Alligator mississippiensis: one gene and its partner. The protein of the gene in region 1 interacts with the protein of each later gene in a pairwise test. Links are inferred from orthologs where the notes say so. Each region holds a gene or a part of one and is shown in the gene's direction. Other genes may lie near its edges. The genes, in order: KCTD6 and GRB7.

Region 1 (8,580 bases):
TAGAGCCTCAAAGCGTGAACAGAAAGTCCAGAAGTGCAAGCCCAGCACGCATACTTTCTGTGGTAATGGCTCCATCACCACACCTATTTCTAGAAATATGCACCCTAGTCTTACAGCTCTAATTAAGTAGCAGGTGCAAAAAAGGCCCGTGCAAGTGCAGACTGATGTCTGAGTTGTGATAAAAGGCAGCTGTAGAGCCAGTCTAAACCTGCAGCGTCCAGCTCCACTGCCCTGTAGCAGCCCTTAGGCAGTTCTTTCATTTTCAAACCACTCATTTGACCCGTTGTAAGTAGTAGACAGACAGCACGGCTGGGTAGTCGTTTATTTCTCATACTAAATTAAGACCATTTAGAATGAGACTCTTTCTCTGACAGCAATAGAACAGTCCGTTCACTGGTACCGTCAACTCTCAGAGAGGGTACAGATTCAAACTTACAGCATGAGACTGGCACAAACATAGCTATATACTTCCCCACAGAGCTGCTTAGAGTTGAAGGGTGACTGAAAGGCTGGCTTATTACACAATTAGCCATATAAATAATTTTTAAAGTGTTATTTAACCTTTTCTTTCTGTACAGAAAGGTTCATGAAGCTATACAAGGCAGTACACTCCATATGTTTTAAACTAAGACATTTTAGAAGAACATGTTTGTAACAGTCTAGATATTTAGTGTTTTCTTCACTGCAAAGATGATATCCTTCACTTGAGGTATGCAGTTCTCTTCCAAGATCTTTGCATAAGGCATAGGAACGTCGGCCCCTGTGACACGCACAGCTGGAGCATCCAAGTAATTGAAGGCAGGTCCTGGAACAAAGAAAGGCATCTTAAGCCATGCAGAGCTAGCTGTTGTTCCTTGATGTACCTGCAGTTTGACAAAATTGGCCTGTTCTGGGTATTTGGGGTCTTACAGAACTGCACTGCAAACCCACCCCTGCAGCTTTCCTTGGTTAACTGAAACCAGATTTTTTGCTGTTTGGTCCCTTCATTCAGCACACATTTAAGAGGGAATGCTCGAGCAAAGTGATCCAGTGGCCCTTACGTGCTCAGCTTCCCAGGAGCTGCTTGAAGCTCCATGCCTCAGAGAGGTGATAAGTGTGGTAGAACAAGGGACTGGGGCTGTTACTTCAGAAGTTAACACACTTTTCTGACTTAGCATCTACTGTGTCAGCAAAACAGGCTTTGTACTTTCCTCTCGTACTTGCCAGGCTTGGCTGGAAGGCAATAGATTAGAGGCCAGCGACACAGTACAGATACATACAAGTTACAGGAGCTGAGCAAAAGATACCTTCCATGATTCTGGCACATATTTCGGCTCCTACTCCAAACTGTGGCCAACCTCCTTCCACTGTTACAAGGTTATTTGTCTTCATAATGCTGGCTTCTATAGTTTCAACATCCATTGGGCGAATGGTGCGGAGATTTATCACCTGGAAGAGAGAGTGGCAAGCGATTTGGTACTAGGTTCTTTAAGCCTAGCCCCCTCCCTTGCTTACTGGAGCAGAGTCTTTCACTTCATGAGTACTTTGTATTCTTGTTTTAGGCAGTCTTACTCTCCTCCCCCAGAACCAGGAGTGTCTCCTATGCCTTCTGCTCCGCTGTCTTTACCTCAGCTACCTCCACAGTTGTAGGATGCACTCCTCATCTCATCTCCAGAGGGGATGCCTCTACTGGCATCAACCCAGTAGTTACTTGTAGCCACACGATTTGTAGCAAACCGGCTTACCCTGGCTCAACTCACTGCCCTTGCTTTTATAGGGGAGTGCAAGGCTACTTGCACACTTGCATGTTTCTCTATGAAGCTTCCCCGCACAGTAAACAAGACTCTTATGTTCCCCTTGCTTGCTGTCTGTGGGTAACTAAGTGTGCCCACACAAGCAATATATCCATTTAGCTTTGGAGCCAGTGCCAAAGGCTCAGCAGATAAAATAATTAAGGGCTCAAATGTATTGAACACAAATTTTAAGCTATGAATTTAGTGTCTGCATCAGTAAAACAGTGTGGAATCCTACCAAGTGTGACAGTGTTTTGCAATCTCAAATGCAAACTTCCACCTTGCTGGCAAAGCACAAGCATGGCTGAATCCCTCTTTAGCTCAGGAATCAAAGCAGTTGAGAATGAATCCAATTTAAACGAAAGATGTTTTTCATCCTGGCCTGAAATACCACTGAGTGAGTGGGACATACCTCACACTCCACCCCTTCTTTGGCAAGGACAGCAGCTGCTTCCAGACAGTGTCCAACAGGCCTCGAGTGCGACACTAACGTAACGTGCTTTCCTGAAACACAGAAGCTGGTGGTGGATCAAGACAGATCTTCCTGTCAAGCAGCTCAACACTAAACATCTCTGAAAAGTTAAGTGTAAGACCTCACCTTTTTGACCTAGCTAAAGTCTAGCGTACTCAGCATCTGACTTGCATGTCAGGACTAGCCTGAGAAGTCTGTTACTGGAACTCTTCCTGAGTTCGACTACTTAAGAGCATCGTTCTTGTGCTCTGTGTATTGGCAGAATGGATGGGATCAACTTGCTATGCCACGAATAACAAGTTGCTTGCATGCTTCTACAGCGAAGTTATACACAACTGACAAGAGGTTTGAAATGCTGCACATTAGTGACCTTTCTTGATATGCTGAGCAAAGAATCTAAGCTCTGGTTGTGGGTGTTGTTTTCTTTTCACTCGTTTCAGACAGTCCAACTGCACCAGGCCTAGCTGGCCACTAGAAAGTGTTTTAATTGTGGGTCAAGATGGCCCTGCCCTAAATTACTTTGTCTGTGAGTAATAAGTGCTAAAAACAAATAGCTGGTAAAATCCAAATGACCAGAAGTCTTAGTAGTGTCCTTCTGAATAGTTCCCTGTTTTGCAAGAAGGAAGTACTTTATAAAGGAAAGCACTTAATGAGTTCAATTGGTCTAGCAAGGAAAGAGAACTTTTACAAGTGAGAATATACAGAATAGTGGTATTCTGAACTTACCCGGCCTCTCTATTTTGGCTTTGCCAATAGGAACCAAGAAGTCCTTTGATTGCGTTTCCTCCGACATCTCAAAGGGAACTCCATACATCAGTTCATGTTCCAGCATCACAACTAAAGATCATTAGAGTGGTCACTTGGGTTAGTCTGGAGGTCCCCCAATCCAGGTGCCACACAACATTTTCCAAGACTGTCAGGGCCCACGATGGTGGACTCCTCCTCTCGGCTCAATTACAGGAGGACAAGCATAACGCAGCAGCACGCTTAGACAAGCCCAGAGGACTCGAAGCTTCACTTAAGTAGCTATTAACTTGTAGCACTGCACAATTTTGAAATGGCTTCTTTGACTGATCCCACAGCCAGAGGGTGATTTCACACTAAGCATTTGGAGATGCAACATTTGGGGGGTAATCAGAAACCCAGAACTTGCTCCCAGACGGCTTCCACATCTGTTCCACAGACACGCAAGTGACGGCTACAGGACTGGGTCTAAAGGGCCAGGGCTATGCTTGTCATCCTTTTCCTAGGACAGCAGTGCACAAGCTGACCGTCGGGGGGGTGCCCATATTCTAGTTCAGCGTTTCCCAACCAGTGCCGCAGCGTGCTGGGATGGAGCCAAGCCCCTGCCTGCTGCTGCTGTGGGTGGACACAGACAGACGAGGAGCATGACTCCAGCCCAAAACGCTGCTGGGCCGGCCGTGCGCCACCCCGCTGTCAGCATCCGGCTGGCCACACGCCACCCCCTGCGCCGTGGTGCTTCTTTATTGGGAAATGCCAGGGGGAGGAAAAGGTTGGGAAATGCTGTTCTAGTTTAACTTTGGTTTTGAAGAAGAGGTCGCGGTCAGGAGAAAAGGTCTCCAGGATTACCTTCACGATTTGAGTCCCACGCTTTAAGCGCGTTCTTCGCGGGGTCAAGGTGGAGAAGGGAAGCGGAGGGCGCGCCGAGACTAGTTATTCGAGTACAGCGGGACTTCCTGCTGGTAATTACCTGGATTGTCGTCCCGGATGGCCGACTTGAGCAGACCTCTCGCGTCTTCGGAGCTCCATGGGCTGACCACCTTCAGCCCAGGGCAGTGCCCGTACCAGGCGGCGAAGCACTGCGAGTGCTGCGCGCCGACACCGGCCGAGGTGCCGTTGGGGCCCCTGAACACCACCGGGACCGAGACCATGCCGGAAGACATGTAATAGGTCTTGGCAGCGGAGTTGATCACCTGGTCGATGGCTTGCATGGAGAAGTTGAAGGTCATGAATTCGCAAATTGGCCTCAGCCCAGCCTGTTAAACAAGGACACGGGCCAGTCACGAAGCCTCGTCCGGCCTCCTGGCGCCCCCCGTGCCCTGGGGGGGTTAACCCCGCTCCCCCTTCCCGCGGGGCTGCGGCGCACGGAGCGGGCGGTGCGCCCCCCCCCACGCCGGCCCGTTTCCGAACCGGCTCCTTGTGCGCAGCGCTGGGCACCCACCATGGCGGCTCCCACGGCGATGCCGGTGAAGCCCATCTGCAAGGGAGGGAAGGCAGAGGGGTGAGCGCGGGGCAGGGGTAGGGGCAGGGGGGCGTGGGGGGGCGGGGCGGGGCGGGGGTACCTCGGAGATGGGGGTGTCGATGATGCGCTTGTCGCCGTACTTCTTCCACAGGCCGCGGCTGATCTGCGGGCGCAGGCAGAGCGTGAGGCGGGCCCGCGGCCCCCCGCCCCCCCGCCCGCCCGGCCCGGCCCGGCCCGGCCCCGCTCACCTTGTAGGCGCCGTCGTACTGCGCCACCTCCTCGCCCAGCAGGAAGACGCGCTCGTCGCGCTCCAGCTCCTCGTCCAGCGCCTGGTTCAGCGCGTCGCGGACCGTCACCTGCGGCGCACAGCGCGCTCACGCCGGGCCCGCCGGCCGGCTCCCCCCGGCCCCGGCCCCGGCCCCGGCCCGGTACCTGCACGGCGGCGGGCGCCGAGGCGCGGATCCCCCGGCGCAGCGGGCCCGGCAAGCGGTGCAACCCGGCCCGCGCCAGCCCCCTCAGTGCCGCCGCCATCTTGGATGTGCCCTCCAGCGGCAGGGCGTGGCGTCACGCCCGCACCGCCCAATGGGCGCCCGGCCCCGCCCCCTCGCTGCCTGGCAACGGGGCGCCGCGGCGGCGTCTCGCGAGAAGCGGCGGCGGTGGCGTGCTACGTCACATCCGCTCTGGGTCGGGACGGTACGCGGCGAGGGACATAGTGCAGCGGCGCGGTGAGTGCGGCCCCGCGCCCGCCTGAGGGGAGTGGCCCTGCCCCGCGCCCCTCGCCCGCTGTCATCCCCTCAGTCTTCCCTTCTGCAGCCTCCACGAGCCCATTCCCCGCCCGCCGTGACGGGATGAAGAGGTAGCGGGCGGGCGGGCGTTCGGTGGCGCTCGCGCCGGCGGTTAGGATTTTGCCCCGAGCGGATGCGCGTGCTCCTTAGCTCGCGGGGCCGCCGAAGGGTGTTCCTGCCCAAGACAGTTTTATTTATTTTTATTTTTTTGCAAAACCCTCGTGGGTCGGATGAAAGAGGTCACCCCTACACGGGCGGCCCCACGAGCCCGGCTAGCCGGGCAGAGGCTCCCAAACCGGCTTCCCCGCAGACTCCGACACAAAATCAATGACGCATCTAGATGCTTGCTTTATTTATTGATGTATTTATCAAAACACGGGCTTGCCTGAGCTAATTGCTCCTATAAATTATTTGCTCGGTGTTACGGTGGCGGCGCTGTCGCCCAAGGGTAGCTTCGGGCAGCAAGATGTATCTGCTCCGTTTTCTTTGTGATCGCCCAAGCGGTGCCGTGGCGGGATGGATCCGTCCCAGGGGCTTTGGAGATGGCCTCTCTCCTGTCACACAGATGTTTGTCAGAGAAAATCTTTTCAGTAGATGGGTGCAGACCTCTTTATGTTTCTTCCCTGTTTAGAGTTGGTGCCATTGAGCATTTATTGAGACGTCATTGATTATACGCGTGTAAGTCGCACTGTTTTCCCAGGTCTGCTTCCCCCTCCTCTCCTTACTGTGGGGACTTTGTCAGAGGCCCTCCTTGCCCTTTTCCTGAAGAAGTGCCGCGGCCTGATGCGAAGTGTCCTCTCGCACCTTGCGCTGGAACAGAGCAGTCCCTGTCTAAAGGAGAAACCCAGGGTCTGCGCCTCCAGGCTAACGCTAGCGGGGGGAGTAAGTTGCCGTTGAGCTGGGAAGCACAGAACAGCTCTGCAGGCTCGTTGCCCCGATGGCTGGTTCTTCTCGCCTGCGCGGAAGAGCCGACGCTCTGAGTTCGTATCTCTCCCTCGGTCGGCAGTCGTTTGTGCTGTGCTGAGGCAAGCCTCCCCTTTGCCTTGTCCAGCATGACTCATCCACGCTGCCGATATTGTGTTTAACTTATTTGCGTTTTAGTGCTTGGGAAAAGGTGTAGGGTTGGACACGGGATTCTCCTGTGGCTGGGGACATGCGATGCCTGCCTTGTGTATGCCTCTGCTCTCCACGTGCAGCTGGCCTTTGGGGAGAGCTCTCACGCTCTGCCGTTGCAGTCCAGACCTTCTCTGAGCAGAAAGCACTTCGCTCTTGCCATGCTCTTCTCAAGTGGGGACACGGGCCTGTGACGGCTACAGGAGAGCAGGCTGTTTGGGTCAGAAATTGAACGCTACTTCTGTAGTCACTGAGTGGTGCAGAGCTCTGCCTCGGCTCAAGCGCTGTGACTTTACTTGCTGGGTAACACGTGCCTGGGTTAATTTGTTTCCCAAAGCTCCCACAAGATCCTTTCTGTACCAAACTGTTTGTAAGTCCTAGAGTTTAAGCCAGAGGAGACCTCTGCTACTGCCTAGCCTGGTCTGCCACCAACCCAAGTCACAGCATTTCATCCATCCTTCCAGCAGTGGCAGGATGGCAGGCTTTAATGGGACCTTGCCCTGAAGGTGAATGTTCCTGACTACCTATAGGAAGTTTTCTTTTACTTCCCTCCTGCTCCCCCCAAGTGACTTCTGAGTTCCTGCTGCTGCTGAGATACAGAATTATTGACTCATAAAGCTAGCACACAGGTCTCCACATCTACTGAGATGGACCTTCAGACATGAGATGAATAAATCAAGCATTTGGCTTATGTAAATGGGGTTACTTTTTAAGATAGATGTCCCCCACTCAGATGAATTGTAGCTGGTGTGCGAGTATAAAACTTCAGAAATGCCATGCAGGCTATTTAACAAATCTGGAATACTGAGGACAGCTTGTGAAGGCACTGCTCTCTCTAGATAGGGCCTGTCTTCAGGCAATGGAAAGGATGCTGGAAGATCAGTATAGGGAAGTCCTCATTTGTGGGTGTTGCTGCTATGCTGCCTGAATAGGTGACAGCAAGACCCAGCCTGTCTTTGAGTAGAAGCACTTAAAGACCAGCAATGCTTATAATCTGACAGATCTCTCTATTTATTTGTTTTATCTATCTGTTTGTCTGCAGGGGGAATAGACGTGAATTGTATATCCCTTCAGCAACCTTCTGTTAAACTTGGACTCCCACAGATCAAGCAACAGAACAGATGGATAATGGAGACTGGGGATATATGGTAAGTGAGCCAGTACAGATGTGTGTGCATGCTGAGAGAGACTTGGGCTTTCCAGATTTTAATGTAAGGATCCCCTCCAGTCTCTTGGCTTTGTATAGACCCAGAGAAGAAACTATGGGAAGAAAAATCTTATTAAAAACAATTTACTTACATTGTCTTTAGGTGTTTCATTTCAGTATGGCTGTGGGGCCTTTCACGTTGTTAATCTCCAGACAGTGCAGGGATTACATAAAACAGTGGGGTCAGCCTTTTTGGCAGCTGTGCTACAAACTAGCCCCACTACTTCCCCAAGTGCCGCACTGATCCTGTTCCCTGGCCAGTCAGCTGCTCTGCTTTCTGTTCCCTTCCTTGTGCTCCCTGCCTGATCTGCTGCTTTGCTTTCTGCTTCCTGCCTGCCTCTCTGTCTGCCCTATCTGCCACACGCCACACATGGATGCTGCCCAGGCCACTCGGGGCACGTAGGCTGACTTAAGACAACACTTACAATTCTCTTAAAAAGATCGGGCCACAATGATGGGCTAGGAAGTGTTGGAAAGCAACCTCCTTGATGTACAGGGTCCTGGAAAAAGCAAAATCTTCCATGTTCCTTTACGTATTTTGATGCCATTTTATTTGGGGAAAAACTATTCTTGCCTCTTAAACTGCATTTCTGAAACTAGGCCAGACTCGCTCATCTTATTATTGCTCTTTCCTTTTTTCCTCTAAGCATTCTCCTCTCTTTGGATACATCTGGCAGGCCCTCAGCCCTGGCCATGACTCAGTGACCGAGTGGGATCTGTATTTCTTCTCTCACCTGCCTTTCTGGGTGTGATGTGGGTGGTTATAGCTGTGGGCTGCCTCCAGTGCCCAGGTACCCCCTCTACACAGTCAACATTTTGTCTGACAGATGTGTCTTTTGCAAGCTGAGGCTACAGTATTGTCTTCATGGCTCCCTACAGCTGAAGCAAAAGTTGACTTTAAATGACCTTTAATTTTCTGCAAAGAGATTTGAGGCGTATTTGCTATGTTTCTCTCAAAGCATGAGACATGCTACGAGACGGATCCTTGGGCGTCTGACTCCGTCTGGTTCTGTAGGCTCAGAACGATC
Region 2 (8,847 bases), on another chromosome or scaffold:
ACATGCCGCCAGGGGGCAGCAGCACTCCCCTCCCAAAATGATACGATGGGATACATAGGCCTGGCCCTCACCCCCATAACTGCTCCCTAGTGGGGTCCACCTGCCCTGCCGCACTGGTGCAGAGAGCGCTGGCAAGGAAGGGCAGGCTGGGTCCTGGCAAAGGGATGAGCTGTGCTATGAGCTTCCTTGGCATTTCATCCTTGCTTGTGACTGCCAGGGTGAGACCAGCCCATCATGAGACCCCAATGGGCTGGACCATGAATGGATCGTAGCCAGGGTTCAGCACTATGGGTTGGTATATCTCGTGCCAAAGCAAGGACTTCAGGCTTTCTCAGGCTTTGCCCCATCAAAGCAGTTGAGAATCCGCCAGGTCACCACTATTTCCTTAAAGGGCTGCTGTGATGGTGGGAGGGGAGGGCTCATTTCCCCCAAAAAGGAGGGGCAGGGCAGGGTTGGGGAGGATCTGACTGGAATGCAGCTGCCCTGGATATAAAAGAAAGCACTACTCAGCCCCCAGATGAGGTCTAGGGAACAGCTTGAAGGGAAGCCAAGCTCCCCTTGTTAAAAGTTTGTCACCAGCAGGTTGGGAAATTGGGGCACCATTAACCCTTTCCCTGCTGCACAATGCCCTGGGAGCTCTCTGGCAGTACCTTTCAGCTGTCAGTTTTAATTTCCAGGAGGCCTCTCGGTGCTGGCTGGGATGGGAGGGAACAATCAGACCATTGGATTGCTTGGAAGCCCCACTTCCCACCTGCTTGAGTCCTCAGTGGCATCTTCCCCACCACCCCAAGGGGGCCGAGAAGATCGGGGTGGGAGTGGAGCCCTCTACTGCCCATGTGCCACTTCCAACCCATGGCTGGGTGCAGGTTTTCCTGCCAGCGAGGGAGACCTGAGTGCCTCCATCCTGCTTGGCTCCCTCCCTCCCCAGGCAGACAGCAATAGCTCAGAACACGGCTTGGCACTGGGTGGAGCTGACGTCACCCAGGGTCCAGGGGTAAGAGCCATTCTATATGCCAGCACACGGGGATCCCAGCAAGTGGGCTCCCCCTTTACTCAGAGCACTAGGTGGGTCAGGACTGGGTGGGGAACCTGGGGGGTGAGCCAGGTGGGGGGGTATGTATGTGGGGGGCGGGGGTGAGGTGGCTCAGCCCTGCTCCTCACAGAGCTGGACTTGTCACTATTTGAAACATCCAGCCCTGTCATCTTATGCAAGTGTGAAATACATGGGCTCCCAGGGCAGCTGCTACGTGTGTGAGCAGGGCTGCAAGGGGTATAGGCAGCGTGGCCAGGGTGGGGAGAGGGGGCGGGGAGGGAGCTGCCCACTGCGCTGCCAGCTGAGTCATTTCAGAACTGGGGCTTGAAGCTGGCCGGATGGCGGTGGGGATGGCTGTAAATGCTTGGGCCCCTGTAACCAGCCCTTGTTAATGGTGGCGCTCACCAATTAAAGAAGGGAAGAGGGACGGGGGAGGGGGTGCTGCTGCCAAAGCCATAACAGAGGTGGGGACCCTGGGATTTATCCTCAGAGTGGCAGCAACAGTGTGGGGGGGAGGGCGCACAGCGAGGGGCTCAGCGGTGGAGGCCACTCTGAGTGGCCGGCTCTGGCAGGCATGGATCAGGGCATGCAGGAGGGCCGGAGCTTTCCCTGGAAGAAGGCCGTGGGGGTAGTGTTTTGCTGCACCTGCTTACGGAAACGTGGCCCCCTGGGAAAATCACCCACGTGTCCTGAACGGAAGAGGAGCCGCAGCACAGCCTCCCGCTGCAAGGTAATGCATCCATTCCTTCGCCCCAGGGGTGGCATGAGTGCCAGGGGAGCTGCATGGCCTGATGCCCAGTGGGGAGGGGGACCATGCCCCATCAGCACCCAGGGCCCCTTCTTTAGGATGGTGCCCAGGCATGCTGTTGTGTGCAAGCACTCTGAGTGCACATGGGCATGGATCTGAGGGGGCAGGGGGAGACGGGCTTGTGCATGTGCATGTGACTGGGTAGATACGTGTGCCCCCACAGATCTACCAGCCAGAGAAGGTAAAGGGAGGAGCCTGCTGAGCCACAGCCTAGGACCCACAGGTCCCCATGCCCTGACATTTGCCTGGCCTGTGCCCTTTCCCCTGAGTCCTGCACAAGCAGAAGCAGGCTCCTCATGGCACAGGTGCTTCCTGTGGCACAGGTGACCCACGTACCACCTCTCTGGGTATGTGCAGAGAATGGCCAAGCAGCCACCAGGGGGTGCTGGTGAGAGGGACCAGGCCTTGGTCCCAGCACATGAGGAGCTGTCACCCTTTTTTGAATCAAAGCTCCTTTGGCTCCTGCCTCCTCTTTCTACTGCTGGGGGCTTGGGTAGCACCTGCTGCCCAGCCCCCAGGGGCTCCTTTCTAAGCCAACAGGGCTCAGGCCTATGGGAGCCAGGCACAACCTCAGCCCTTCTCCTTGCCTTCCTCCCCAGCCCTTCTTCTCAGCTCCTTCTCGCACTGCTGAGAAGGGCCTGTGTTCTGGTCTGTCCTGGGCTGCTAGCTCTAGCTGCCTCACTCAGTGGTGCATTACAGCAGTGCATGGGTCAGCCTCATTAGAAATAATTCATTAGGAAGACCAAGCTGGTTCCCATGGGAAGAACGGTTTCCCTTGGCCTTTCTCCTCTGCCTGCTCAGGACAGATTTTGGGCAGGTGTGGCTGCTTCTTCACATTGTCCCTGTGCATGTGTGCGTACGTGTGTGGATGCAAGCAGACAAGGGCAGGTGGACTGTCATGCTCACCAGCTGTGTGCAGGGGGCAGAGGAGACAGGCTTGGCTGCTATGGGGTACACTGACACCGGGGCTCCAAGCTGGAGTGTCCACTTCACTTTAGCCTGGCTCTGCAGGAGTTGGAGTGGGAGAGGGCGAGAAGGGGACTGCCAGTGGTTCTGAATTGGGCAGGGAGGGACTTTGCCAGAGTTCAGGACTGGGACTTTCCTGCTTCGAGGGGACACTGCGGGGCAGCAGTTCTGCACAGGGCCAAGAAGGGCCATGACAGCAGGGCAGAGGAAAGGCCAGGCTGGAGCTGAAGGCAGTAAGACTCTGGCAGGGCTGTGCTCCAACTTGGCATGGCTCAAGGTGAGGGAGAGAGGGGCCCCTGATGCCTCCCACTGCTGCTGATTTATTGATCTTGGTCAGCATGGCTCCTAATTGGTGCGTGGGAGCCAAGATGGACAGCTGCACCCAGCACTTTAGGATTATGCAGCTGGTCAGTGGCTGGCCTGAGGCTGGCAGCCCAGGCAGTCACCCCTCACTGCCAGGTGACTGCACGGCTGTATCAGGCTGATGCTACCTACCTCCCCTGTGCCTCACTCCATGGCCTCTGACCTATCCTGCACACCCCTTGAGCTACAAGAAGAGACCTTCTTCCACACCCAGGTCCCACGTGCAGCACCATCCAGGCTACTGCCACCAAGCCCACATTCACTATGCCAGCCCCATCCCCCCAGCAGGCTGTTCCCACAGCCAGGCCCCTCTGAGTCAGTAGTGTAGGAGGGCTATGGCTGGCCCACAGCCTGGGCATGAGGGAAGCCCACAGACCCTCCCACGAATGCCAGGCCTGCTTAGGAGGTTTCTGGTAAGGAGAGGAATGCTGCACTCTGCCTGGGTGGAGTTGCTGGTACATATGGGGTTGTGTTCCCCACAGGTGGCACGGGGGCATGGAGAGGCTGAGAAGACAGCGTGCAGCACAGTCTGCCTTCCAGAAGCTCCCTGCTGCCACAGGCTGCTCCCAGCCCTCGGGAAACCAGCTCCCCGTGCAGTTGGGTGGGTCATGGCAGAGGCATTTCAGGGCTGGCTGCCTTGGGCAGGCTCCTGGAAGTGCTGCTGCTGTCCAAAGGGTTCCTGGAAGCAGCTTTATGTTCTTAGAAACATAATATAAGCTGGGGCGTGAGGCTGTGCAGGAAGGGAGGTGGCAGCCTCACAGAGGCCCTGGCAGTCTAGCCAAAGCTGTAATTGTACAGCTACGAAGGATTTTTCTTTCCTTTAGATGCTGGGAACAGGCAGGGCTGACTGTTCCTGCTCGGCTGGCAAGACACAAGATCCCAGGGAAACCCAGGGCTCTCAGAGTCCAGGTGGGGTTAACTGTGAGGCTGGGACTGTTTCACACTGTGGGATGGTGGGAAGGAAAGGGGCCGGGGTGGAGGCACAGCTCCTATCCATCAGGGATGGCCTCCCCACTCCAGATGTTGTGGGGATTCCTTATCACTCCACCAGTCCTGGGTCTTATTCTCGACACTGGATCCCTGCTTTCCTTTGGGCAAGTCATAGGAGCCCTGTGTCCCTTCCTGTCTTGTGGGAATGACACCCACTCTTCCCTTTCAGCATGCGTTGAGATGCAGCTCTGCTGGGAGTTGAGGGCTGTGTCCTTGGTAGAGAAGGCACCTTGCATCTCTGCCTGGTGCAGTGGCTACAGCTGGCTTCCCTCCATGGGGACCATTCTGTATTGTCACCCTCCAGCATCAGAAGCTCAAATCCCCACCACACCCTCCTCTAGGTGAGCTCAACCCATCTGTGGCAGATGTACCAAGGCCCAGACCCTCACTCTGCACTTGGATTTTGGGGGGACAAGCTTACAACCCCTGCTCTGTACTAGCCTGACATCACTTGTATCTTTCAATCATCCAGAGGGGTTGGCACATGCAACCTTAGCCAGGACCTCCTCTCCCCATGCCACAGGGTGGCATCTGCTAGTACTTTCCACCCCATCTCCCTAGCACTCTGCAGTCCTTCTTGGAGAAAAGCAGCATATGAATTCTCAGGGTGAAGCTCCAGCCTGTGATATATGCCAGGAAAACAATTCTGGAGAGGGGGAGGCTTGCCAGAAGGAGAATGTCAGCGAGTTGAACTGACCCCTTGTTGAAAACTCAATGTAGCAAAGGCTGGTCTTACTGCTCTTGTTTGCTTAGCATGGGCATGTTGGGGATGGAGTTTAATCTAGTAACAGTAGGTGACTGGGGGTGAGGAGAGTCCTATTGACTGGGTCCTCATACTTTCTCAGGGAGGCAGGATCACTGAGTGGCTAGAGCAGGCAATTAAAAGGCAGGATTCATGGGTTCAGTGACCATTGATAAGAAGGTGAGAGCACAGGTCTGGCTGGCAGGGCTCCTGAGTTCCTTCTTCTGCTCTGCTACTGATTCACTGCATGACCAAAGACACATCACTTACCTTGCCCATGCCTCAGGTTTCCTCAGTTGTCATCACTGGCTGGTTTTAAGGCTGAATTCAGTGACTGTGAGCGCCAAGGTATGGTCCCAGGTGGATTGAGGAGGTGGTGTGCCACTCTTGAGAAAGGCACTGCCCACTTCTCCAGAGCCCTGCAGAAACAGGAACCTATCTCAAGCCTGTGGGGTGCCCTGCTGTGCCTACACAGTGCTGCCATCTCTATTCCCTCCTGCATGCAGCCAGCAGCAGCAGCGAGCTATAGCTGGGAAATTACAGCAAAGCCACAGCCCAGATAAGGCTCCCTGCTGGGGCTGGTGGTTTGGAACAGACATGGTGATAACTGCTGGGGACAGACTAGAAGAGGCAGACAGGGGATGCAAGAAGCCACGGGCGCCATGGGCGAGGTAGGGCAGCTCCTGGACTCTATGCCCTGAAGATGCTGGGGGATGGGGGAGCCTTGTTCCTCTCACCCTTTATTACTCTTTCTTCTTGTGGAAGTGTGTGTGTGGTGGGGGAGGTGGGGATCAGGAATCCTCCCTAGAACCTGGTAGGGGAAATCCTGGTGTCAGGACTGGCCATGTAAGGGGCAAGGAGGGGAGTGTTGTGGCCAACACTGAGGGGGGGGGGGTGTGTGTGTGAGTGAGATCCAGGTGCTTTTGCTATAAGGGTCTTGGGGACTGCAGTGCAGTGACTATGGTGAGAACACGTGCCTGGATGCCACGATGGTGGGCGCTGTGTGAGCATCTGCATGGACAGCCCCAGTGGATGGCTTGATGTGTGTTGAGGTGGGGAGGGAGGGGTCTTGCATGGTTCCCACAGCACCTTTGCAGCTGGCGTACTAGCTATTCCTGTGGCTGGCAGCAAGATGAAGGGGGAGCCGAGCCTGAGCTGCCCTGGACCCAGGGCTGGGGGAGCTTGTGTTGCTGTTGTCCCTACTCAGGGGTTTCTCCCCACTGGTGGAATGGGGGTCTCCCAGCCTCCAGGGGGGAAGTGGGACTAACTCCTCCCTCCTGTCACCTGCTGCAGGAGAACACAGAGTTGGGGACCTCTGGGCGCAGACTTCGGGAGTGGATCCATGGGAGACCTCACCGCCTCACCGCCCAGAACCAGGGCAAAGGTAAGAAGCTTGCTCACATCCCCACCTCTGTGTCATGGACCCTCACCAGGGAAGAGAGATCTGTGGGGATACAGCCCCCTCAGCCCCACACATGGGGGAACTGAGGCACAGAAAGAGGCAGGGCTAAGCTGATGAGGTTTCATGGTGGCAGAGCTGGGGGTGGACCTCAGGGTGGGGGCTCTGGGTACAAGTTCAGGCCCACCCACTTCAGTACCCAGACTTGGTGTGACAGCCCTGCCCCAGGCTCACAGGCTTCTGTCCCCGGACAGACTTTATGGGGAGTGTCTGCCACCCTTGTGCCCACTGCAGGCAACCAGTTGTGCCTACCACTGGCTCCTTATGTGCTCAGGAAGGGGCAGCATGTGGTCCAGTGCAGAGGTACCTGGACTGGGAGCCAGAAGCTGGTACTGGGTCTGGTACTGCCTCAAGGAAAATCACAACCCCTTTTTGGGCTTCAATTTCCCCATCTGCCTTTTGCTAGCTCCTTATGGCAGGACCGGGACTGGTGTGATACCTGGCATGACAGTACCCTTTAGGGGAGATACATGGCAGGGGGTTCATGATCCATGGGCCTACTGTGCAGGGGCTGAGCTGGGGTGGGGGGAAGGGAACCCCAAAGCCTCTTGCCCCTGGTGAGAGTGTGACTGACAGCAGCAGAGTGACCACCCCCAACCATCACTGTGGCTCTGTCCTGCTATGGAGGGACCTTCTAAGTGGTCACGGGTGGGGACTGATACTTGTCTGCAAGGGGGCATGATGCTGTCAGCGGGGGGGGGGGCTTTTGTACATGGCCCCTTGGCTCAGGTCCTCTGAGGGTCCCAAAGTACACTACTCCCATCATTTTCATCAGATGTCAGTGGGAGTTTGATGCCTAAATCTCTTTGGAAATCTGGGCCTTGGGTGCTGAGATCTGGAATGAGACTTGCCAAACTCATCACACCCAGGCTACCAGTGAGAGCCCCAGATGGGTCTGACCAGCCAGAAAGGGAACTGACAGTGAAGAAGCAATCTTCACAGGCCACATCCCCTCTGGCCCATTCCCCGGGGCTAGGTTTAAATATAGCAGGGCTGTGTCTCCTGCCCCTCCTTATGCCACCCAACCACGGGTGGGACACAGCTGGATCCAGCCCCTGGCTGGGGAGCTGTCTTCCTCTCCCTCCCTGGGGCTGGACACTTAGCAGAGAATGGCACCAGTGGGGTTAGGAGGGGTTTATAACAACAGGAAAATGGGGCATTCCAGCAGTGACTGCTTCAGGCTGAGGGACATCCACCCTCACACAAGGACCAGTAGACCAGCTGGGTGCTTTTCCCTCTAGGGTGGGAGGTTGATAATCCTTGCCCATCCCAGCTCCAAGCAGGATCTCATTGGGCTTTGGGAAGAGGTTTCCCCTCATGACACTACCACCTGCAGCAGCACATGGGGTCCACACAGGCCCTTCTCCTCTCCTTGTGGCCTCCTCCACAAGGGCCCTTCTCCTCCCCAGCCCCAGCCCCAGCCCCAGGCCCTGTCCCCAGGGCTGAGCTCTCCTGGCATGTGCTGGAAGCTGCCCCTGTGGCTGGCACCTGGCCCTGGCCCTCGTGACCAGATCCCAGGGCTGTGAGGAGGGGTTGCTCCACTCCCAGCTGGACACATGCTGACTGTTGCTAAGTGATTTCTCCAGAGGGTGCCAAACACCATCCCTCAGTGGCAGTCCATGCTCTGAGGGGGAGAGGGAGGGGACGAGGGTACCTGGGGCCAGAACTCACAGGGACCCATGGAGTCTTTTATGGGCCTAATAATAATATCTATCCATTGCTCCCCATCCACCCCTGTTATTGATTCCAGAGTCTCTCCCAGGTTTTTCCCAGGGCTCCCACCATAGCTGTGTCCCAGCTTAGTCTCCCCAGCCATTTCCTGCATCCCAGAGCTGCACTGAGTCCTCTCTCAGGCTTCCTTGTCTCCAACCTGGAGCATTTTGTCCAGCTAGCTGTGTTGCACAGGGAAGGAGAACTAATGGGAGTTGGGGATGGAGAATCAAATCAACTCACTGTGCGGTGCCGTCGGGAAGCGTTCTGATTAAACATTGCATGTTGCAAGCCTGGCTCTGATGGGGCCCGGAGGGCTTCAGGCACCCCCTGCTAGCCCCTAGATAGGGGTCTTGCACAGGGAAGTCCAGCTTCTACCACTGGGGACCTCTCTCTGAAGGCACAGTGGGAGTGCAATGGAGCTGGAATGCTGCCCCTCAGCCAGCAGCCTGTGTAATTGCAACACATGGATACAGGGGAGAAGAGGCTGTTCATGGAGAGGAAAAAGGCCCAACACTCACTGCAGGCTTCGTAGCCACAGCTGCACTGCCTCCTCCCTCCCCCTTTCCCCACATGGCTATACCAGGCCTCGGCTACCAAGGGGACCTCTTCCTACCCCAGCTCCCAGTCCCCAAATACCTGTGCTAAGGGAGCGCTGCTGCTACAGACACCCCTGAGACATTGCACTAGGCAGTATGCTCTGAGTTCTATCGCAGCAGAGGGCTAACAGCCAGGGCTCCTGGGTTCTTTCCATCTCTAGGATGGTAACGATGTGT

Evidence for each region.
Region 2: the proteins of KCTD6 (region 1) and GRB7 interact in binary tests that used the Homo sapiens proteins (3 or more experiments, as listed by UniProt). The two-hybrid records come from large-scale screens. The link is inferred for Alligator mississippiensis from reciprocal best matches to the Homo sapiens genes KCTD6 and GRB7.

Annotation. Positions count from the first base shown.
Region 1 is NC_081835.1:890,669-899,248, forward strand, and holds the start of KCTD6 (BTB/POZ domain-containing protein KCTD6), read left to right. Parts: upstream 1-5,093; 5' UTR 5,094-5,172; intron 5,173-5,181; exon of another isoform or gene 5,182-5,303; intron 5,304-5,336; exon of another isoform or gene 5,337-5,910; intron 5,911-7,387; 5' UTR 7,388-7,466; coding exon 7,467-7,493; intron 7,494-8,580. Other genes in the region: PDHB (pyruvate dehydrogenase E1 component subunit beta, mitochondrial), read right to left, coding at 660-805, 1,287-1,428, 2,185-2,276, 2,971-3,081, 3,956-4,241, 4,427-4,462, 4,548-4,610, 4,696-4,803 and 1 more. UniProt on the Homo sapiens protein: Probable substrate-specific adapter of a BCR (BTB-CUL3-RBX1) E3 ubiquitin-protein ligase complex mediating the ubiquitination and subsequent proteasomal degradation of target proteins.
Region 2 is NC_081827.1:165,262,903-165,271,749, reverse strand, and holds the start of GRB7 (growth factor receptor-bound protein 7), read left to right. Parts: upstream 1-5,478; 5' UTR 5,479-5,543; coding exon 5,544-5,573; intron 5,574-6,195; coding exon 6,196-6,286; intron 6,287-8,847. UniProt on the Homo sapiens protein: Adapter protein that interacts with the cytoplasmic domain of numerous receptor kinases and modulates down-stream signaling. Promotes activation of down-stream protein kinases, including STAT3, AKT1, MAPK1 and/or MAPK3. Promotes activation of HRAS.